Linked DNA regions of Neurospora crassa OR74A. The protein of the gene in region 1 purifies or fractionates together with the protein of each later gene. This does not show direct contact. Links are inferred from orthologs where the notes say so. Each region holds a gene or a part of one and is shown on either strand. Other genes may lie near its edges.

What was found. The genes of interacting proteins can lie anywhere in the genome.
Region 2: the proteins of NCU06047 (region 1) and NCU00225 purify together in Saccharomyces cerevisiae (affinity purification with mass spectrometry; 3 studies listed by BioGRID). This does not show direct contact. The link is inferred for Neurospora crassa OR74A from reciprocal best matches to the Saccharomyces cerevisiae genes RPS2 and STM1.
Region 3: the proteins of NCU06047 (region 1) and stk-52 purify together in Saccharomyces cerevisiae (affinity purification with mass spectrometry; 3 studies listed by BioGRID). This does not show direct contact. The link is inferred for Neurospora crassa OR74A from reciprocal best matches to the Saccharomyces cerevisiae genes RPS2 and RIO1.

What each region holds. Positions count from the first base shown.
Region 1 is NC_026507.1:1,980,339-1,988,146, forward strand, and holds NCU06047 (40S ribosomal protein S2), read left to right. Parts: upstream 1-3,985; 5' UTR 3,986-4,148; coding exon 4,149-4,424; intron 4,425-4,573; coding exon 4,574-4,831; intron 4,832-4,893; coding exon 4,894-5,157; 3' UTR 5,158-5,887; downstream 5,888-7,808. Other genes in the region: NCU06049 (DNA damage response protein RcaA), read right to left, coding at 1-1,184, 1,250-1,401, 1,460-1,539, 1,591-1,650, 1,781-1,811; NCU06048 (40S ribosomal protein S30), read left to right, coding at 2,743-2,776, 2,842-2,975, 3,040-3,063; NCU06046 (hypothetical protein), read right to left, coding at 6,457-7,035; NCU06045 (hypothetical protein), read left to right, coding at 7,802-7,808. UniProt on the Saccharomyces cerevisiae protein: Component of the ribosome, a large ribonucleoprotein complex responsible for the synthesis of proteins in the cell.
Region 2 is NC_026503.1:3,073,862-3,081,902, forward strand, and holds NCU00225 (hypothetical protein), read left to right. Parts: upstream 1-2,707; 5' UTR 2,708-2,865; coding exon 2,866-2,883; intron 2,884-3,192; coding exon 3,193-3,211; intron 3,212-3,344; coding exon 3,345-3,503; intron 3,504-3,565; coding exon 3,566-3,731; intron 3,732-3,792; coding exon 3,793-4,387; 3' UTR 4,388-5,167; downstream 5,168-8,041. Other genes in the region: NCU00226 (MFS transporter), read right to left, coding at 6,361-7,786, 7,845-8,041. UniProt on the Saccharomyces cerevisiae protein: Ribosome preservation factor that protect a small pool of nontranslating, vacant ribosomes in cells under nutrient starvation conditions.
Region 3 is NC_026503.1:5,212,938-5,220,792, reverse strand, and holds stk-52 (serine/threonine-protein kinase RIO1), read left to right. Parts: upstream 1-2,521; 5' UTR 2,522-2,767; intron 2,768-2,899; 5' UTR 2,900-2,912; coding exon 2,913-4,544; 3' UTR 4,545-5,031; downstream 5,032-7,855. UniProt on the Saccharomyces cerevisiae protein: Required for the final endonucleolytic cleavage at site D converting 20S pre-rRNA into the mature 18S rRNA. Required for the final steps of cytoplasmic maturation of the 40S ribosomal subunit.

The DNA.
Region 1 (7,808 bases):
ACACATCATGCTCGGGCAGTGGTGACAGCGCGCGTTTACGCGTCGGCTTTTTGCTCCGGGTAGCGCCTGTGGTGGCGGCGGGGGGACGTGATTCTTGTTCTGAGAAATCATCATCGAATTGCTCTTGTTGCTGTGAGACGAAGAGACTTTGGCTGTCTTGCGATGCTGGCATATCCGCGGCTAATTGTGTTGCCTTTGTAGCTGGAGCAGCAGGAACGTCTGCCATGGAATCGTCTTCGTCGTTATCGGAATCGAAATCGAAACCCTTGAAGCGAGACCTACCACCTGCGCGAGCTCGTCGTCGAGCCGGGGCGGGTTCGTCATTTTCTCTGTCGCGTGGATCGACTTGCATGCGATCCCCCGATTGAGTTTGGGCGATCTGGGTGGGATTTGCGGTTGATGTAGGTTGGGTGTCTTCTTCGAGGCGTCGTCGGAGTAGAGATGCATCGCAGGCGAGGATGGCCTCCAGAAACTCCTTTTGGTCGGGAGGCCGATGGTCGAGATGTCTGGCAAAGCTCGTGTAGAAGTTGGTCCACCACTCAACGTCATCGCCCTTTCCAGGGGCATGTCGCACCACAACGACTCTTTTCCCGTCACTGCCATCCTCAAATGACCCAGTCCCTTTTTCACCGGCAACCTCTTTGACGTAGCGCACAAAGTCATCTACCTCGGTGACGCCTTCCACTACTTCTTTGAAGAAAGCCTTGCCTTTGCCCCACTGAACAACAGGCGCAAGGTTCTCGTGTTGCTTCTGATTGTAGAACACGAAGGTGTATCCAGCGAAAACATCGTGTCGCCGCTCGTCGGGTGCATAATCGGCTGGCGGTCGTTCGGTAGGCTCATCACCGCGAGGTGGCAGGTAATCAGCGGCATTGGGCCAGGCCTTATCGAAGGTGCTCTCCAATGCACTGGGCGTTCCCGTTCCAGCGTCATCAGGCACTGTGGCAGCCTCGACAATGGCAGTGATAAAACCGTCGGATACGATAGGTTTGCCATTGACCAGTGCTTGCAGTGTCTTGGATGTGTTGCGTTTCTTGCTAACCACGTGGGTGGTGAGCTGTTCGTAAGTACCTATGTACTTGATGTCAAGCTGCTCGAGGTTGTCACGTAGCGTCTGCCATGAACCAGCCTCGATTTCCTTCTTGGTAAAAGAGAAGCTGAGAACAACAGGACGCCATACGATGCTGAAGCAAACCGGTGAGTTCAGGTCAGGTAACACCATGGTTCGTTTGTATAGGGTTATACATACCGAAGTTGATGTGGACAGGCACCCAATATAAGCTCGTTGGTTGGTTCGGTGAGGACGACTTTCTGTCCACGTATTTGAGTCCCGTTCAAGAGGGTGCCCTTTTTCGAATTTTTATCCTCAATGGTGATTTTGGAGCGTGCGAGTATGTTGCCCTGAAGAAGCTTTATCAGCCGAGGCAATTCAGAACATTCCCTGCCCGAGGAAACCTACACCATCGCCGTCCACAACATCAGCGACATGAATGCAAATATGATTCCGTGAGATTGTCTTGTCAGAAATGACAAAATCGGCTAAAAGGCCAGTCAGTGGCTGTTTTCATGCTCATGCTGAGGAAGCCATACTGTTTTCCGCAGTCCTACCAAAAAGGTACTGCCTGCCCGGTCGCAGCCATTTTCTTCCGTCTGGCTTCCTCGTTCGGGGTCAGCGATCTCTTCCCACGAAGTTTCTTGATCTGATATGGATGGCATCACGGCAGCGCGTCGACGCGACCGCCAATTCATGTAGCACAGTAGCACACAGGACAAAACCCACCTTCGAAGACGTCACTTTCGAGAAGCCACATATTCTCAACAATCCCAACTGGAATAAACTGGAGGTAGGAATTGACAGTGCGGACTTTGAGGTGGAGATTGATGGGTTGAGATGACGCGATGGCCGATCGCGCGCAAGTATTGGTGTTACGCGGTCACTCTTCGTTTAACTAACTAGGTACGTGGGGTATTAACGTTGCGCGGCGTAAGCGTCGTGTTGGATGGATGCCGGGGACTTGTCTGTCGCGGAAGGAGCGCGCTCGCACGTGAACACTCTAGAGTTTAGACTGTAATTGAACTTGCCTGTTTGGGTCGTTCCAAAACTTCTAGTGTACAGTACTAATTCCGTCCAGTCTCGAGCCTCGAGGCTCCTCCGGGCCGGTTGAGGTGGTTGCCTTTTGCTGGCAGCAAATCCTTTGCGAGGGGTGTACGAGGAAGTTGAACTATGATTACGGGCATTTATACCTATGCATTAGTCGTTTTTTTGTTGAATAATACATATCGGCTTTTTGCCAGTCTTTCGCATGGGATTCTGATTTCACCTCTTTCGCCGTTGGTAGTGTAATCGAGACGGTGCTTTCCCTGCATGCTGAGGCCCCACTGTTTAACATTGGTGGTTGCAGGCGTTTCTTTCTCGTGTCGCCAGGGGGCAATTCTCTTGGCAATCCCCCCGGAGCCCACTGCAGTGGAAGACTACCAGTACCGCTACACAACACTAGTCTACGTAGCGGTTGGCTCCCGACTGCCCTTTTCGGGACGATAAAACAGACGGGAGTCATCGGTGAATGTTTGACACGGCCGAATATCTTACCTGCCAGATACAGGTATAAAACATCCCGAGTCCCTTCCTCACATCATTCTAAACCCTTGTATTGTCCCCCTTTCGGCCCATTCGCCGTCCAATACTCACCCAAAAACAGTCACAAAAAGCCACTCACCACCACTCCATCACTACCATTAAAAATGGGCAAAGTTCACGGTTCCCTTGCTCGTGCCGGTAAGTTGCAGTTTTTGATGCCATTTCGCCACACCTTCATCACCAAAACTCACACCCATCTTCAGGCAAGGTCAAGTCTCAGACTCCCAAGGTTGAGCCCCAGGAAAAGCCCAAGACTCCCAAGGGCCGTGCTCACAAGCGCGAAATCTACACTCGCCGTTTCGTGAACGTTGTCACCGGTCCTGGCGGCAAGCGCAAGGTAGGAGGGCTCACTCACGCTTTGCTTCCAGGTCGCAGTTGTGCTGACATATCATCGAATCCAGATGAACGCCAACCCCTCTGCTTGAAGGGCTTATCTTTTGGAATGTTGCTCATTCGCAAATAAGCAAGCAAGCATCTCATGGCGTCTCTAGGCGTTTACTGATTCTACCTACGAGGGAAATGGTCATGGCCATGGGCATATCGGGAACGCAGGAGCATGTGTTGGACTTGGGTACTCAGTTCATCCTCTACTATAGGCTAGGTTTCCGGTGCAAAGGCGTTTTGATGGAATCTGATGATGCCCCCTTCTTCCAGCTAGGTACAATAGGAAAATCGATTTGCCCTTTGGGCACTTATTCAGAAAACGGCTCTCTTCTTGATCATATCAGCGTGTGATCCCTGGAAGAGGAACGTGCAATACCAGGTCGTTCTGTGTGAGTTGGATGCCTCTATGAGTCTATGGAGACCGACAGACTGGAGGCACATGTCGCAACTAAGAGACGAACACCTCCACTGAACCATCTGATGATGCGACAAGGTAATGTGCATTTGCAAATGGATGTTGATATCGGGTGTTCACTGGGAATCTGTAGCGACAGTGAGGAACTCCGCAACAACTATCGACAAAATTGAAAGATTTGTTGACACGAGTCCGATACTGAAATCTCCACGCGTTGGTAATGACAAGAGTGAGAACCCCGATGGCCTACAGAGGGAGGGATGGACTTCAATGATCGCAGTGGGGCTTCAATTTGCCCATGACGGGTTGAAACTGCCCCGGCATTCAAGGTTCACGATTGCAAGTTCGCGGCGGGACTGACGGTGCGACGGCCAGCCCTGTAGGTAGCTACAGCAAGCAGTTGGGCTGAGAAGCAGACAGCCTGGTCCGTGCACACTCATTGTCCATGCCAAGCCTGACAGCTGTAACCCCAAATCTACCCCACCTTTCGGCTGCCAGGCGGGACAAAACCCGCGGATAGCCAATGAGGTGGGCGTTAGGGTTGGTGCCAAAGGCGGAGCGCACCAGCAAAATCCAGAAATCGCAGCGAAAAGCTGCGACCCCCACCAGGCGCCCGAGAAAAACGTCGAGTATCTGCACTCCTCAACCAGTCCACGACGACGACCAGCAACAGACCCTCCGTCTCCGATACCCTACCGGCAAACCGACATAATGGCTGATCGTGGAACTTCTGGCCCCCGTGGCGGCGGCTTCGCTTCCCGTGGCGATCGTGGTGGTGACCGCGGCCGTGGCCGTGGTGGACGTGGCCGTGGCCGTCGCGGCGGCAAGTCCGAGGAGAAGGAGTGGCAGCCCGTCACCAAGCTTGGCCGTCTCGTGAAGGCCGGCAAGATCAAGAGCATGGAGGAGATCTACCTCCACTCTCTCCCCATCAAGGAGTACCAGATCGTCGACTTCTTCCTCCCCAAGCTCAAGGATGAGGTCATGAAGGTGCGCAGCAACGAATTCTTTGATGCCCGGAGGATGAGGTTGAGGAGGGGGAGGAGCGAGAATCGCAGGATTCGCGACGACATTGGGGGGAACTGTGCTTGAAACCCCACGAAACTGCATGCTGATATTGTTGTTTTCTCCCTCTGCAGATCAAGCCCGTCCAGAAGCAGACCCGTGCCGGTCAGCGTACCCGCTTCAAGGCCATCGTCATCATCGGTGACTCCGAGGGCCACGTCGGTCTCGGTATCAAGACCTCCAAGGAAGTCGCTACTGCTATCCGCGCTGCCATCATCATCGCCAAGCTCAGCGTCATCCCCGTCCGTCGCGGTTACTGGGGCGCCAACCTCGGTCTCCCCCACTCCCTCCCCGTCAAGGAGTCTGGCAAGTGCGGTTCCGTCACCGTCCGCGTAAGTTATACCCAGAATTTGACCCGAGAAGCTGGAACTGGCGCTGACTGCGATCCTCATAGCTTATCCCCGCTCCCCGTGGTACCTCCCTCGTTGCCTCCCCCGCCGTCAAGCGTCTTCTCCAGCTCGCCGGTATCGAGGATGCTTACACCTCCTCTTCCGGCTCTACCAAGACCCTTGAGAACACTCTCAAGGCTACTTTCGCCGCTGTTTCCAACACCTATGGCTTCCTTACCCCCAACTTGTGGAAGGAGACCAAGTTGACCCGCTCTCCTCTTGAGGAGTTCGCCGACACCCTCCGTGAGGGCAAGCGTTACGCCAACTAAGCGACTGGTTGAAAGTTGTTTTCAGCTAGCGAGGATGGAAGGATTCTTTCGGGCGTCTGTGGTTATTTGATTGCATGGGCTCCGGGAATGGAATAGATGAAGGCTGTTGTCCCAAATACCTAGTGCGATCGGCCTGAGTCCCAAAATTGATGAAATGACCAACAACGACAAAGCCCCCATTCGAATAGCGAATCAACGTGAATGTTATGGATGGTAGCGTTGTGGGACAATGTGTTCCATGCGGTCAAGGGTCGTCGCTGCTCATACTACGGACAGCTGTTTATTTGGTTTGCGAGCTTAACATGCTGTATGGTTCGCGGTTGCTAACAGCTCAGCAGACACGGTTCACACAGAAATCACGTACAAGAGACCAAGCTTGGAGTGGTAGGTAGCCTTCCACTTAAGTTGCTTTCTATACTGGAAATGGCCTGTCCGAGAGGCAGCGCGGTAGGAAGGGACTCGTGACTTGACCTTGAGATACCATCTAGGTAGTCACTCGTGACTGTTCCTCGAGGGGTCGGTTGGTCTTGCCCCTTTCCCATGATGGCGGTTGTGCAGGAGTTGACTGGGAAAGAGCAATCGCTTCTCCGGCTTGACAAAAGAGCATCATCTTTCTCAATCCCCAATTGATGTTTTTTTTTCTACTCTTCTCCATGTTCTCTTCCATCACCAATACTCTGCTAGGCCGAGCACCGTTCGTTTCCCTCTTTTTTTTTTTGGACCACGGGTTTTGGACTTGTGAGTTTTGGAACCGCTTTGGCCTTCTGCCCTTGGAAGTGTATCAACTACCTACACAACTGGCCTCTTTTCCTTTTTCTTTCTTTCGGGTAGACACAGTCGTTTTCTGGCTACCATGCCGTCCGCTGGTCGTTACCTGCTACCCCTACTCCTTCTTCCCATCAGCCTCGCTTCCAACCATGTCTCGGACAGCAAGGAGACAGGAACAACCCCGGCCCTTCGACATGTCCACCGCCAGGTAGAAAATGGTGAGCCTCAGGAGCCCAAGTCAGACGAATTGGGTGCCCCTGGCCTGATAATCGATCCTGATATTTTGTCTTTAGTGCTCAATCCTCCAGCCCAAACTACTCTTTTGGTTACAACAAGTACTGGTAGTGCCGCAACCCCACTCGAATCGAACTCGGCGGTCATCGGGGGTCTCATCTCGTTGCTCAACACCATCTTGGGTTCACTGACGACCAGTCTTTCTAACATCGGTACGACAATGGTCAGCCCGAACGCTACGCTTCCTACAGATGTCGCTTCTCTCGTATCCCTCATCCCGGCTTTGGAGAGTGTTCTTCAGCCCGGAGCACAGCAGGCCACCACTATGTCGGCGGAAGGTACCTTGCCACCCATTATACCAGTACCGGGCCCGACCTCTTCGGGCCAACCGGCGTTCCTTAGCCCAGGATTGTCACTTCCGCTTTCATTCCCCGTACCAACCAACGTGAACCCAACACCCGGGGTAGTTTCTAACTCAAGTGCCATTTTGCGAACCGCAGCGGTTCCGACATCTGACATCCCGCTCCTCATGTCTGAGATCACGCCCTTGATTCCCCTGTTGAGTACAGACCTGCCATCAGTCCTACCGCTCTTGCAGTCGTTCCAGTCGATGGTCAGCTCAGAACTTCCGGTTTCGATTTCGGAACTCCAGTCGCTCTCAGCAATTGTCGTGTCGGAGATGGCTTCCCTTCCCCTGCCGGCAACTCTCACAGCGCTGCTTTCATCTGAGCTAGCTTCTGTTCCTGTGTCTGTACCGACAGTTCCGCTTCCAACGCCAGACATTGCCTCGATCTTGAGTGCCATCGTACCAAGTGTTCCTCTACGAACAGCTAGCATTCCGCTCCTTAATTCGGAGACAACACCACTGATGCCCATGTTGAGCACGAACATACCGTCGGCTCTACTACTCCTAGAGTCCCTACAATCGATTCTTGGCTCAGAAGTGTCGGTTCCTGTGGCCGATGTTGCTTCCTTAACAGCAGTGCTTGCCTCGGAAGTGCCATCTCTCACCCAGGCGGTCGTGTCAGAAGCTACGCTCTTGACGTCAGAATTGCCGACCATTACCCTAAATCTCTCTTCGACTACCATTCAGGTATCGATCCCGACAAGCCTTTTGTTGAAGCTCTCTGACATATCACTTCCCACTGCTGTACCCCTTTCTCAATTTGCGAAGTCACTCTCAAGCGTTGCGGGTCCGTCAAATATTGCGTTAGCCAGCAACGTTGTTGGCGTTGTAGCATCGGTGTTGGCCAGCATGGTTTCAAATACCCCAATGGACAGTTTGATCAGTCAAGTCACGGTGGCCGCGGGTTCAGCCTCTTCCGAGACTGTTGGTGTACTGTGCTCACGGTTGATGTTGGTAGGCGACTCTGTCATTCCGGTGTCCGTCCCGTGCAGCTCAATCCAAACAACGTCGCCCTTTATCAACGGACCAAGCTCGACAACTCCTATCACTGGTCCAGCATTGGAAAATGCTTCAACAGTCCAAGCCCCAGCGTCTGTGTCTGCAGTCTTTGTGAGCGCTTCAGGACAGCCAACCAGCGACTCTGTGTTCCAGATAAGCAGTTATTCAGGTCCAACTTGTACTTTGAGACGCGGAGCTTCAAACAGTCTCTTACCTCAGGCAGGGGGAGCAGGGCAGATGATAT
Region 2 (8,041 bases), on another chromosome or scaffold:
ACCGGTGGTCGCACAGATGTGACAAGCCCACCATCACGCTTTCATCACTCCTACCTCCTACTACCTCTTTCAATCGGCCCTGATGCTTGGGGAAGACTCTGGAAGGTTAAATCAACCCGAAGGCGGGCAGATTTATTTGAACTCATTTCGAATTCTGGTGGACAGGTTGCAGGGCAAGCCGAATGCAGGATGAGTCACACCCAAAGGAACCGTCGATCTCGTTGCCAAATGACAAGCTACCTGCTGTTGGACGACTCTCAAAGTCGGGCACAGCTCTCTCAACACTCTACTGACCAGCTAAATCATTCCTCTTTGGGAACTTCGTTTGTGTAGCTCCATGTAGAGCCGAGCGTTATTTAGACAAGAGAGATATTCTTTGAAGTCCTCTTTCCAGGCAATCTGGAGCAAATCGTGACAAGTATGTGGGCTCAGCTCGAAATTCTTGACCTTGCGCTCACAACGGACGTTGCGAGCATACTGCAAGTGAGTATCGTGAAACTTGGTGAGCTGTTCGTTGTCGGCGGAGGTGTCGAAAATGGGAGTGTCCTTCAAGCTCTTCTTTCTTTTTGCTGCTTCGTAGAGCCTGCGGCCTCAATACAGTGTGACATCTTTTCGAGATTTCAGCCATAGTGCTTGTAGGCGCAAAGTGTCCTACTTCTATGCTTTGTTTGTCGAGACCTCCACATTTGCTGGTTTGAGCGGTTGACATGTGGCTTTTGTATACATATTTGCCTGGTAATAAATAGACTTCTTGTCTTCCCGTGAACTAACACTCGTATCAAGCAAGACCTGGGAGGTACACGTTAATGAGGTGGGTTTGATTGCAACTTCTACCGACCGGGTTCTCTCCTATTACCCAAAGCCTGAGCTGTGGCTTTCGCTCACAGATGATGTACTGGCGTGTTTGATACAGTGGACAGAAGTATAACGTTAGAAGTGCTTCATAACAGCCTCCTCAAACATCCCTTGCCGATATCCAAGAGTAGGTGCATAATGTGGCTCAAACCTAAAGATGAATGATCGACAAACTCCTGAAGACAGATTTCGTGACCAGAACGACTTCTACCGTCAACGACTCATGTGGCTGCCCCGGTGTTTCAGAGTGTTGTGGACTTTGCATAGCCTCAGAGCTAAATATCAGCTCAAATGAAGCAAATCTGTCATGCCAAACAATGGCGACCAGGCTAGATAATGCTTCTCATCCAGTACATGCCCAACTTTCTCTGGCAACGCCGTGGAGACATTCTTAGTTGTCAAGAAACACAGAGACACACTGTTTGATACAACGCCTGTAAGTTGACTTCAAACAATCTGCCATGACTAACACGAAAGACTCGATGTTGGGTGAAAAGCAAGACACGAGAAATGCAGTAGAATCTTGAAAAGGCAGATGAAAAGGAGAGAAAGGAATTGCAGAGCTACACAACAAAGAAGGAAGTCGACTTGCATATTGATCATGATGAAATGGCTCTCCGCGACTTGTTATCCGTACAATAACTGGATTAGTTGATACCGATATCTCAGGTTAACTAACCTACAACAAAGAGACATTTGCTGATGGCTATCTTCCATTCTCGATGCGAGGACAGGACTCTAATGTGGTAAAGGTTATGTATTTTGCAGATGTATGTCCATCTCCGCCTCGAAGGGCCACGAGGAAGTAAACAAGTGTGTTAAAAAGGGGAGCTTCAATTCATGAATTCAACATCCATTGGCAACTGCTTCGACTGGCGAACGGTACTCGTCCTAATATAGTTGCTGTTTGAGCTTCGTCGCCACAGCGTCCACTCTCTGCCATGACTGTCAGATGCAAACCAACGGGTGAGTCCATCCAGAACCACACTTGTGGAAACGCATGCAGAGCCGCTGTGATTTGAGGGTGATGCGGTTCAACAGACACGTAGAACCTATACAACTTCCAACACTGTTCTACATCATGGCATATGGCAGACTTTCCAGAGAAGTCTTGAATGAAAGGAAGTAAGATAGAAGTAGGGGTTGGAAAAAAAAAACAGAAAGAAAAAGAAAAAAAAAGGTGAAAGGTCCACGCTGCATATCAAACTGCTCAAGTGGTCCGTGATGACCTCTCCAATGTGGCCGTGATCAAGCACCTGTTGGCAAGCCGTCAAGCACAGCAACCAAGGTAATACTTCCCCAAGAAAGACATGACGTCCGGTGTCTAAAAGCACGACGGCAATGCGTGCCTTTTTGGCATGAAGTCCGTTGACAGGAAGTCCGGGGTGCTTGAGGCAGGTCCGATCTCATAGAAGGCTGTCACCTCAGCAGGAATGCGTCAACTTGGCATATAAAGCGGCAGCTTCCGTCAGGTGTTTGTGACGGATGTGTTTCCAGTGGTTTGTTTACCTTGGTGACGATGATGTCTATGGTCGTGAGTGGTTGTCGTCGCAGCTGCAAACACTCTGCCAAGACTTGCCGGATTGGGAGCAGAGCTCAAACAGGCAAAGTTACGGCGTGTACGGATCGATACGCACGTCACATTGGTAACAAAGGGCAGGCAGCGTGCAAAGTGGTAGCCCTAACCACCAATAACAGCGGCGCACTGAAATTTCACCAAAAAGCCAAAACGGCAGTCAAAGTTGGAAGCGGGGAACAGCGGCAAAGAGGGCCAGAGCAGGGCCTTGGAGGGGAGATTTGGTGCAGGTGGGCGGGGCACGAGCGTCTCTGTGATCCGTGCCACTGCCAAAACCTGGTCCGAGCTCCCTGTGGCCCGGGAGCGATTTGCCAAAATCTTTTACGACACCACAGCGAGCATCAGACGTCGTTGTCGCTGTCGTCCGCCCCCCCTACCCAACCCCGTCTAGAAGAAGCGCATTGAGTCAGGCCAACGTCCTGTCAAGCGCAAAGATGTCGGTCGCTTCCAAGGTGTGTTTATCTCTCTCCCCGTCAATCTCCGAAATGGCCGGTTTCACGGTCGGCCGAGAGCTGCATGCTGTGCAGCGGATATGGATGACCCCGTGGTTGGACCTCGCCGTGAAATGAAACTGAGAGCTTCATTTTTGTTTCCGAGCGAGTCCGCCAACACCGGCTCCTTGCGACAATTTGGGATCCGAAAGAGGAGGGAGGCTTGGAGAATGGGGATCCAGACGCACAGCGAGCAGCAGCCGGCCATACCGCGAAAATCTAGAGCTCAAGACAGCAAGAAACTAACCGATTGCGATTCTTTTTCTACAGAACCTGTTCGATCTGCTCGGTTGGTTGCCCACCCTCCTGTGAATTACGGAACCCACGCGACGGCACACTCGAAATTGGCAGGGCGAGGAGGAACATTGAACACCGCAATCCAAGGAACCACCAATACTGACGGATCGATTGTTTTCATTCAGGCAACGACGTGGAGGATAACACCGCTCCCGCCGCCCCTGCTAAGATCGTCGAGAAGACCTCGACCCACACCACCAAGCGCAACTCCGATGGCGTCGCTCCCAGCAAGGCCCCCGCTCAGGGCTCTGGCCGTCGCTCTAACTTGACCGGCAACGAGGCCGGTATGTTGATCATCCAACATGCTAACCATGGCTACCCTCTCAACTGACATTTTCGGTCCCAGCTTTCCGCGACCGCAACGCCGGCAGCGACCGCAACCGTGGCAAGCCCACTGAGGAGGGTGCTGCTCGTGGTCCCCGCGGCGGCGCTAACGCCCGCGTCCGCGGTGGTCGCGGTGGCCGTCACCCCCGTAACACCTCGGATGACCGCCACTCTAAGTCCATCCCCTCGTATGTTCCGGTCAAGCAATTTCTAGCCACAGGCACCTCCGTCCACTAACACCCTGACTAGCGGATCCGAGAAGCAGGCTGCCCTTTCCTGGGGCGCCACCGAGGGCCAGGCCGAGCTGAAGGATGAGCAGGCCGCCGAGGAGATCGCCAAGACTGAGCAGAAGGAGGCCACCACCGAGGGTGAGGCCGCCGCTGAGGCTATCCCCGAGGAGGAGGAGGAGAAGCACGTCTCCTACTCTGAGTACCTTGCCCAGCTCGCCGAGAAGAAGGCCGCTCTCGAGGCCGAGGCCGCCCTCAAGGTCCGCAAGGCCAACGAGGGTGTCGTTGAGGACAAGAAGTGGGCCAACGCCAAGCCCCTCAAGAAGGATGAGACCGAGGAGTTCATTGCTGGCTCCGCCGGCAAGAAGCAGCGCGAGCGTGAGCGCAAGGTCAAGCAGGTCCTCGAGATCGACCAGCGTTTCGTCGAGCCCGAGCGTCCCGCTCGTGGTGGTGCCCGCGGTGGCCGCGGTGGTCCCCGTGGTGACGCCGGCCGTGGCCGTGGCGCTCCCCGTGGTGCTGCCCGTGGTGCTGCCCGTGGCGGTGCTCCCCGCGCCGAGAACAAGGCTGCTCCCATCAACCCCAACGATGAGTCTGCCTTCCCCAGCCTCGGCAACTAAATGCCTCTCAATATCGGCATAACGACCATACATCGAAGCCAGACTATTCAGTCACACGGCCCCCCCTTTATTTTCTCTTCGAGGCGGCAATGTCAGAATCAGGATGGCGGCGGGTTGGGATAAAAAAAGCAGCCAGCATGGGGTCGGTGTTCGTCTGTTTGGTTGCATTCACCTTTAGCGGAAAAGTGGTTCATGAACACCGGAACCGTGAAAGAGGTTTTCCTTATCTGTCCACCACTTACCGCGGAATCGAACAAAGTAAAACTGTTCAAGCTCGAAAGTTGAAATTGCGCGCGTTCGTATGACCTGGTTCCTCCCCGTATCTATCCCCTTTCCTTCCATGCATGAACGTTATACCTAGGATATATTTCACTTTTTACCCGGTTCAAACCGCAGACAAAGGATGGGATGGCAACCATCCAGAGGGCAAAAAGACACACACGCTATAGTCTAGGTGGCACTATGACATAGCTCGACCATGGCAAGGTCGTAAGAATGGACATAAGACAGGCTTGTTTTGGATTAACACCCAATATGGCATCTGGCAAAAGGCATCAGGCAGAGCAGCAATATCAAAACAAGTGTTTTGGATTCCTCTGGCAAAGGCACAACAAGCTGACACTGATCCGTGACTTGTACTCAACACTGTGTTGGCTGTTTAAGTGCACTTTTCGATGTCTCACTGGACAAGTGAAGTTCTTGCTGCACCGTGATCTTGAACTGACTGGTCGCCATAGGCACATAATAAGATGGAAAATCACTGACGATGATATTGACACACAAGTACTTGTAGTAGACCTTTTCATTTCCATTTCAAACTCCGAACTCGGCGGTTCTTACTAACCACCCCTTCACTATGACCTAGGTCCAGGTAAACAGACCACTCTTTTGTGTCCCTTTCTTGTCTTGTGCAAAACACCCTCTCCATCACAACCCCATGATTACTTATCCATATCACAGCCGCCATACCATACAAGACATGACCTGATGTACATTTCACTTCCATGACAACACTAGCGATATCTACCTTCAATCTTACAACCTTTCTCTCTCTCCATCCTCTCCAAGTTACATTCTCAACCTCGAGGTTCCCTCCCTCATCCTCATATGCTTCGAAGATGTGACACTGCCGGAGAACTCCAGTCATCCTGGCTTTCATATCTCAGACAAGCCAGAATCTGTGGAAACTTATGGTAGACTCTATGCTCGGTCCGACTTTGCACATCATCTAAGTAAGTGGTGATACATACAATCCATTTGCAAGAGACCTAGTGACGAAGTCTCCTGTTGCTTTCTCACCTCACGATGGATGATTCTAGATCCTTGAATACAACTCTGACAATCTGCATCAAGTTACATGCGCGCATCTGCATGCATGATGCTTTATGTCGGTGGTAATGCGCACAAACCCTACCGACAAGCTCTACAGAGTACTTGCTTGCACAACAAGCCCTACTTGTAGGTACTGCCAGGTGCGTACCTGAAAACCGAAGAACCCGAGTTTCCCGAGTATGGGATTATTCGGTCCGCATCAGACCGAGGGCTGGAATGTCGTCTTCAGTTCCCTGGAATAGATTCTGGTAGTTGGGTCGGTGAGAGTCCACGGAGCATGTCGTGTCACTCTATATTATGTCTTTCCTTGTCTATTGTCTTTTTTTTTTTTTTTTTTTCTCCAGGAATGTGTGTTGCGAACTTGGGGAGTGGAAGGTTTGGTTCTCGGGAGATGCTAGTTTCATACGAAGATGGGAAAAGATGGTTGGATGCAGAAACTAGAGAGTGAATCACCATGTCTTTGGAAGAGTAGCAGTACTCGATCACCGCTTCAACAGCGCCCATGCAACAGTACACATTTCCTTAAGCATGCACGATTCATATTCTCTGCAAAATTCATACATCATAACATCATCAACGACTTCCACCCTCCCCCTATCCTCGCCCATCTGGATCACACAACCTTACAACCGCCAAAACACTCAAAAGCCACTCGGCACCTGATGCCCATAGATCACTACTCCCCCCCTCTTCCTCTTAAACCCAAACCTTCCCGCATCAATCCCCAGACTGACCACCAACCAAACCACATTGAACCCAGCCATCATATAGAACGGCGTCCCCGTGCTCCACTCATCGAACCCATACCCGCCCGCCTTTGTCAGCAACAAGATGGCCGCACCTCCGCACCACGAGTAGACTCCCGCCACGGACCCCTTCAGCCTTACTCTCGACACCGTATCCTCCGGCAAAGCTCCCGGATTTTCTAAAAGGGGTGCCGTCTCGTTCCGGCTATCAGCTGGTTCAGTCACAGTAGCTACTTCGCTGTCCCTGTCGACGCGGTGCGGATGCGTGATGACGTTGACTACGTCCACCTTCAGCACACCTCGTCCTAGCGAGCCCAAGCTGCAGACGATGGCGCCAATTTGGCTGATGCCGATAAGTGCAGCGAGGAAGAAGACGACAGGGCTGCCGCCCCGCCCATCCTTGTCTTTGTACTCGGGGCTTTTAAGCTGGGGGAAGGCAATGTAGCCGGCGATGCCAAAGGTGGTGGCCACAATGATAGGGTAGTTGAGTCTATTCTGTTTGGTGAACTTGCGGCTAGAGAGGTAGCCGAAAAGAGGAGCGCAGAGGAGACCCATTAGTTGGGCGACGCCCGTGAGGATAGACGAGAGGATGTAAGCCTGGCGGCATTCCTTTTTCAGCTCTGGGGAAGGGTCGTTGGGCGAGCCTTGGCAGAAGCCGTTGCGGATGAAGAAGGCGTTGATGAAGAGGGGCATGAAGAGCGAGATGGCGACGGTGGAGGCACGGGCGACGAAGCCGCCTAGGTAGCCGAGGGCGATGTCGGAGTCGGTGAGGCCGAGCCGGATCGAGTCGCGGAGGAGGTGTAGGTAGGGATAGACTTGTTTGGATGAGTAGGGGGCCGAGTGGTCGTCGGTTCGGCGCTTGAGTCCGAAGAGGGTCCGGAATCCTTTGCCTTCTTCACCCTTGATGCCGCGGAGACCGAAGAAGACGAAGATGGCGACGAGGAAGGAGACGAGGCCGACGACGTAGTAACTGTACTGGACGGCTTGACCAACAGTGACGCCTTTGATGTGTCCAAACCTTGCCGGTAGAGGGAGGAAGAGCGAAAGAGCGAGGAGGGCACCGCACCCTGTGAAGAGCCCTACGTAGCCGGCCAACGCGGACGGCTTCCCACGTCCTTCGGGTTTCCCTTGGGTGCCATCAAATCTGAAGCCAGCTTCGGAGGTGCTGTGATCGCGGAACCGATCAGGGGTAATGGTAACCTCTGAAGCCACTGACGGTGTTATGCTATGCCTTGGGTTTAGAGGGGGGTTCTCGACAACATCTGTTTGCGCCTGGGTCTCGTCGGACAACGAAGGGAGGATTGCCGTGACCATGGTCGCCCTTTGTCACCAATGATGATTAGCTTTTGTCGTGGAACGCCGTGCTGAACATTACTTACGCAGCGGTAGCTCCAACAGCAAAGAGAATCCTCGCCAATAGCAACTGCGGGTACACATTCGTTGCTTGAACAAACACCAGCAGCGAGAGTCCAATAATCGCATAGCCGGTGACGGCAACATGTCTTACCCCGACACGATCAGACACCAGACCCCAGAAAGGGCAGGCGATCAAGGCGACAATTTCATCAACGAAGCC
Region 3 (7,855 bases), on another chromosome or scaffold:
TGAAGCCTTTCACCTCCCTTCATGGGGTGTAAACGAAGTAGTCCAAGGACCACAAATGATGCCCGATAGTTCCTCCTCGGAAATATATAAATATCCCCCTAATTCCACCACTACGATCTCTTCCACCAGATAGCCCATCAACCAAGCAACCAAGCGAAGGCGAAGATAGACCAACCTTAAACTTAGGTACAAAAAGAAACCACCAGGACACCCAAACCACAAGCAGTGAGCTAGCATCACAATAATCTAAACCAACCTCCCAGACAAAAAGCACTAAGACCCATACCATAGGAAAGCACACAAGTCCAAATGTGCAGATACGGCATTGAATACAGGTTCTGCCGCAACGGCGATCGGTGCCGGGGTGGCAAAGGCCTATTCCAGGGGACCGTTCGCCGCTACAACTATTATACGCAAAGACACAACATGCGGAACTGCAACAGTAGAGGCTGTCGAGGCAATCTTCAGCATGATTCGTGGCTGGATCGTTGGGTTGAGGTTGGGGAGTGTGATATATGCAATCGAGATTGGTTCTTGCAGCCTTGAATGGTAGGTACCTACTTACCTCTACCTCATTATTTGGGTCCTCTTCTCTATAATCTTAAAGGCTCACATCGCCGCTAGTTTACCTCTAGGTACCGTGCAGGGAATTCAGTATGAAAAGGAGGGACCGTGGAAAAGGAGGAATCATGGAAAGGGAGGGATCGTGAAAAAGGTTAAGACCTAACCAGGAAGTGGGAAGGTAAAGGTCAGGGGCAGGTAAAATAGAAGGAACAGGCAATGCCAGGTAACTACCTGCCTAAATCAAGTTCAAACTTGGAAGTCGTTTCTCACCCAACAGGTGAAATTGCTATCGAAACACTACAAGAATACCTCAGACGTTTTTATGATCCCTGACTCTTGTTGACGAGTGGACGATTTGTCACGGTAACGAGCTTATTCCATCCTTTGGTTACCTTAGAGAATCCGAGGCACTGATTCAACCCTCCGCTAAGGACACACCTTGCTCTTCCCTAAAATTACCTATGTAGAATCCCTAGGTACGCGCTCGCCTTCCCGTTTCCATTTTATGCCTTTTCTGACTTTTGGAAAAGGACAACCCTAGCGGAAACGCTGAACCAGATTCCAACATGGCAGAAGAGGACCCTAATGTCACACAATGAAAGCGCCGGAAATTTGGGGATATCGTGCGGGTATGTTTCGGGAGTATATCTGCGTGAAGGGAAGGACACCGATGAATGGAACAAGGTGGGAAATTTTGAGGGGCAGGAAGGGGGGATATTTGAGAGTTGAGGCTCGGAGGGAATAAAGAAGCGAATGTTCGACATGAAATGGGGCAGAGCATCAAAGCAATCTATGGAAACTCCGAGCATAAAACAAAGTTTCCGAATAGATCTCTAAGGCCCCGGGTGACCTTGACCCAAATGACTAAATATCCCCCTAGCAACCTCATCGCCATTACTGTTCCCATACCAATCATGCTGCGGCCGAGCAAAGGGGACACAGCTCATCAATCCGTCTTGAAACGAATAAGTCAGTCATCAACACCCGCTTGCGGGTTGGGCAGTCGCTGCTACTGGCATAGCAGTAAACCCGTCTTCTAGTGCGCTCGAACCATCGTCGGTACAGCTGCCCTTGCTCGTTGACCCAGCCATAGCCGGCTGGACAATCGGCGCCATTACGGCAAAAGTGATGTTCCATGTAGGAGTGGCACATGGTGAGTGAAGTTGTGAGCCCGTTTAGGCAAGGCTGGAATCCCGATGGGGGTTGCCGGAATAAAATAAAAAGGGAATTGGGAGACGCGCCTACCTATTGGATGTTGGAAACTGTGGCCCTGTGCTATTATATGCTCCGTGTTGACATCAAGTTGCGGCTCACACATGATGTAAATATGTTCATTCCTGAACTCGGGTGGTCGATGACCCATTATCCGTTTGTTGACGTGGGAGTCATCAACGACCATGAATCGAATCATCTAAACGCGTCATGTCAATGTATGCCTGCAGGATGAGGTGGAAGCAGGCCAGAAGGTCGTGATGGGTTTACTTTGATTGCAAGTCTCCATCGTTTCCATTGATGAGACGCAAATATCCAGAGGTCATATACCAGATTTGACCGTGAGTAAAATGGAATGTAAGAAGGATGATGTTAGGTTTCCCTGTAATTACCCGGGACCATGGTGTCCATTGCTAGCTTGATGACTTTGGGGATCGGCCTATGCCCCATGGGTGGAGAATTGGCTTTTGGGTGGTCGCCCCTTTTGAGCACTAACAGCTGGGTTCTGTCCAACAGGGAAGCGTACACTGGGTGCTGTTAGTGCTGTTGGCGTTGATTGAGTCACCGGCAGAAGTAGGTGTGTTCCGCACCGTGTTGAGATGTCGAAGATGCAAACCAAAGCTCAAGGAATGAATGTGGAAGTGGAATGAATCAGAATGATAGCGTCAGCATCATCGCCTAGCGTACTAACTATTAGGCGACAAGCTCACTCCAGTGGCAAACTGGTCGCCATCGGTGCAGGGGTGCAATGTCTGTACTCGGAGAGGCAAGAAAAGATGTTATGAATGCTGAAGCCTAAAGTGAGCCGAAGACTACTTAACAAGCAGCCATATCATGTGGAACGGAAACATCCAAGAACATCTTCAGTTCCATTCCAATCCGTCTTCGAGTCGAGTCGTCGTCAAGAACTCGATACTCACGGATTACCCTAACCCTGAATCTCGAAAACAGCCCTACCACTGGAAGACACCCCGCATTACGATAAGATAAGGTAAGCTCGCCCCACCAAGAAAATTGCCAGTGGACGGGAAGTGGAAGTTCGCAAGTTCCATGACGATTTCCATTTCGTCTGCCATCCTGTCTCATCACCACCTGCTGATATCGGCGGAACTGACGAAAGCAGACTCGGCAGCAAGATGGCGTCCCAACCAGAACTCACGTCGACCACAGCGGCGACCGACAACCAGAATGTCGACCTCAGCAACACCACCGCCCAGCTCAACAACCTTGCGATCGAAGAGGAAGACGACGACGACGACCTCCAAGATGTCTTTGAATCCGACGATGACCTCGACTACGAAGATGGCGGCACCGACCTGACCAAGTCGTACAACCGCCAACAACATGGCGCCGGTGCTACCAACTCTCAGCAGTCCCAAGCTCAGGCCCAGCAACAAAAACCCACAGCCAACACGTCGGCCCGCGTCGACGACCAGATCGCCGCCCTCTCCAAGTTCGCCGGAAAGATCCGCATCGACGCCTTCGACAATGCCTCCGGTCCCGCCGAGCGCAGCAAAGACAAGTCCGATCGCGCCACCTCCGAACTCGTCCTCGACCAGCGCACGCGCATGATCCTGCTGCAGATGATCAACCAGGGCTTTGTCTCCGAGATTCACGGCGCCATCAGCACGGGCAAGGAAGCCAACGTCTACGGTGCCATACTCCACCCCGAGGATGGCTCGGCCCCCATACACAAGGCCATCAAGATCTACAAGACGGCCATTCTGGTGTTCAAGGATCGCGAGAAGTACATTACTGGTGAACACCGCTTCAAGAGCGGCAGTGAAAAGGGAAACAACAGGAAGATGGTCAAGCTCTGGGCCGAAAAGGAATTCAGAAACCTGCGCCGTTTGTACACAGCCGGCATCCCCTGCCCGGAGCCCATCAAGCTCAAGCTGCACGTGCTCGTCATGAGCTTCTTGGGAGATCGCAAGGGCTGGGCCTACCCCCGTTTGCGCGACGCTCCCATCTCGGGCGACGACGCCGATGAACAATGGCGCGACCTCTACATCCAACTCCTCGGCCTCATGCGCAAGCTGTACCAAGTCTGCCGCCTCGTCCACGCCGATCTGTCGGAATACAACATCCTCTACAACAACAAGAAGCTCTACATCATTGATGTTTCCCAATCCGTCGAGCACGACCATCCCCACTCGCTCGAGTTCCTGCGTATGGATATCAAGAACGTCGGCGATTTCTTCAGGAGGAAGGGTGTCGACACGCTCTCAGACCGCACGATTTTCGATTTCATCGTCAACCCCAAGGGACCGGCCGAGGAACCCGGTATGAAGGAGACGGTCGAACAGCTGTACCAGACGAGGGTGGAGGTGGAGGATACCGCGGAGGCCAGGGCCGAGCAGGAGGTCGACAATGAGGTTTTCAGAAACCAGTACATCCCCAAGACGCTGAACGAGGTTTACGATATCGAGAAGGATGTCGCCAAGGTAAACGAGGGTCAAGGAGAGGATTTGGTATACAAGAACCTGTTGGCGGATCAAGTGGTGCACAAGACGGCGGAGGATCAGGAAGAGGAGGAGTCTGATGAGGAGGAGGAGGGCAGTGGTGACGAAGAGGAGGGTAGTGATGACGAGGATGACGAGAGCCGATTCGAAAAGGGAACACCAAGAGGCAAGAGGTTCATCGACAAGGACGAAAAGAAGCAGCACAAGGCGGCGGTTAAGGAGGCCAAGAGGGAGAAGAGGAAAGAGAAGATACCCAAGGCGATGAAGAAGAAGTTGGTGAACAGCACGTCGAGGAGGAAGCACTAAGCTGTGGTCGTCTACAAGTATCAGCTTTTCTTGGTTTCTTTCTCTTGTCTTGTTTGCTAATGGGCTCGGGTATGGCTTCTATGGCGCTAAAAGAATAATGGATCATGTCATCTTCCAGCCTGCGTATCCTGCTTTGATGCGTTTGGCGTTTCTCTCTCATACCTCACCCCATCCCGTTTGATCTGGCTACACTTTTGGCCATCATCCCTTGCGACACAGACGCAGCAAGTAAAGCAACCGGATGATGAAAGCAGTAAAGCCTGCCTGAGATTGTCGTCTCCTCAAACGAGCTTGTAATGGTTTTGCCTGTTTTCAGGGCGAAGCCTCCTGCTTTCGAGTAGAGACACTTTCTCAGAAGGCAGGTCTGAGTCGCTGGCGAGCCACCTAAAGAGTGGTCAAGCCGGGCTATGACGACCAAAGAGAGCACTGACGGTCTGCTCCCATACTGGGCGCCTATTAATCCCATGGAGATTCCAGTAGTCTCCTGTTGCCTTTAATATGTACTTATAAAGAGGAAGATGCCTCTACTATACGCTCCCCATTCCCCTTTCTTTATTTCTCCTTTTTTTTATCCCCTCAGTAGATGTTTCCAGTGGTGATATATTTTGAGAGGGCCGGAGTTGCGCTGTGGCGGGAGGGACCTTTCAGGAACGTCGGAGCTTCTTACTTTCAGTGGATGAAAGTAAAAGGCTTCTTTACATATCTTTCGAGATTGACGGCCAACCTCATAGCCAACTTCAGTTTTTGCGTCAACCTGGTAAGCGTTTCTGGAAGGGGTGCGTTTACTCGTGGATGTGATCTGAGCCTTAAAAGAAGAAAAAGATCAGCTCGCCCATGCTCGGAATCGAACTCGGGATGAGTCAACTCTGGACGGGCACGGGTTAAACCTACGAAAATACCGCGCATTTTCTGGACCCAGTGCACTACCACGTAGACTATTGGGCCGTGTTTGAAGGTCCGATTCTTCGGGCTAATATGGTCTCGGACGGTAGACGGAAGGAGGGTCCTGTCGCTGAGAAAGCCGGGGCCGTACTGGGGCCCTGGGGTTCCGGATGGCCCAAGCTCCCGTTCCGGCCTGGCACTGACCCGACAACGGCAGCTCTGGTTTCACCCAGGAGCTGTATTTGTTTCATCTTTCTTTTCAGTGCTCCTATCATACTTAGGCTTTCCATTGTCGTTTTGATCACTTCTTATCTTTCCATCATTTATACCTAGAGGTAGTTCACCATCAACCTCAACATCAGCATCATCCAGCCTGACCATCACCGTTGGGACACCCGATTCATCCACGTCTCGCTAACAGCAAAGCGCCAAGCCGCCAATCCAACCAACCCCTGAAATCTGGACACTTCAGTTCAACCAACCATGATACGGCAGTATGAACGCCCAACTGTATTTTTCCCCACCTGCCACCTGGGAGCTCAGATACTCGCACCCCGCACTTTCCGTTTGTACGCCCAGTACTTATACTTGCGCTTGTATCCTACAAGCTTCAACCTTACATTCGCATATTGCATTCAACTTCCTCTTTTGCGCATTATCAACTACTCTTACATCGCAATCACGCTACACTCACAACAAAATAAGCGAAAATACTACGGCTACACCTAACTAGAACTTCCTATACGAGGATTTTATTTATAATAATATACCGCGCAAAACGCTGCTTACTAAGTACGAATCCGAATTAAATAATAATAAAGTTACTAATTTCCTTATCGAACAAGTCCGAACCTATAAATTTAATAACGCTATAGCTATTCTTTAGTAATACTATAAGAATATTCTTAGTCGCGACGTAATTGTAGGTACTTCCCTTACAATTAGTTGAAATCTTATTCAATTAAAACTAATTTCACTCGAAGGAACTACGTCGCTTCTAAATTAAAAAGGCAATTTTCACCGGCGGTATTAAATTACTTATCTAACTTCGTTATAATAATATAAATTGTACTTCTACTATTATATATTATTTTTTTATAATCCCCTAACGCAATACCGAACCTTATAGTAAATATAATAATTCTCGTAGTTTCGGCCCTATTAATATCTATTTCGTCCCTTACGGAAATTTTTTGAAGGGAGCCTATACTAATTATATATACCAAAGTCGTAGTAAGGACTATACGTACTATAAAGGTACGTTAGGGAATAATTTGAGAACGAGTAATAATAGTGTATTAATTATATAATAGTAAGGGAGGAATTGGATAGGGTGGAGATGAGAAAGAAGATGGGCGAGTTCTAGGGTTTAATGGATAGTTAGGTAAAGGAGGCGCTTAACGTTAAGTTAATTAGAGTTTTGAAGGTGGTTAACATAGAGTTAGAGTCTTGTAAGTAATTAAGTTAGTATAGTTTTATTAGTTTAGGTTTAAAGTTTATAATTATCTATTAATATACTTTGTATTACGTTATTAAATTCTTTTTATACTACTTTATATAAAGTAATAAGTAAAAGAATATTCTAATTTTTTTTTTAAAAAAAAAAATAAGTTTTAATATTTTACTTCTTTTTAAAAAAAATTATTAGAATAACTTTTACTATTATAATTTTAATACTGCAATTAAAATTCAAATATTTAATACTTCCTATATTTTAATAAATTTTATTTAATTATATTAAATAAACCTTTTTATAAAGTATTTATATTCTTTATTATATATTTACTATATTTAATAAAATGAAGTATAATTAAATATTTTTAATAAGATTCTAATTTTTCTTTTTCTTTAAATAAATATATTGGAATTTCTAATATTATTATATATAAAGTATTTAAGGTAGAATTAACTATATAATATTAAGGAATATTAAAAAATAAATATATATTATTATTATATATTACTTCTTTTTTAAACTCATGTTTTTATTATATATACTTTATAATTATATAAATATAAAGGCTAATATATATTTATAGTAATAGAAAATAAAGTAAAAGGTAATATTAAAAAAAAGAAATAAAAGGTAATATTAAAGAAAAAGGTATTTTAAACTTATTTATATTTTAGATTTATATTAAATAAATAAGTAATATTATAAATTATTAAATACTTTAAATAATACATTTTAAAATCTTTTATTTTAATTTTTTATTATATATTCTAGAAATTTCTAGGAAAATAATTAAAATAAAAGTTTTTATATTATATTTATACTATAATATATATAATATACATCTATATATATATAGAGAGATACTCTATTATATATAAGAAATTATTTACTACTTTTTATATTTATAATTCTATTATATAGAAAAAAAGTAACAAAGTCTTCTCTATCTCTCCTTAACCTTCCATTCTTATAT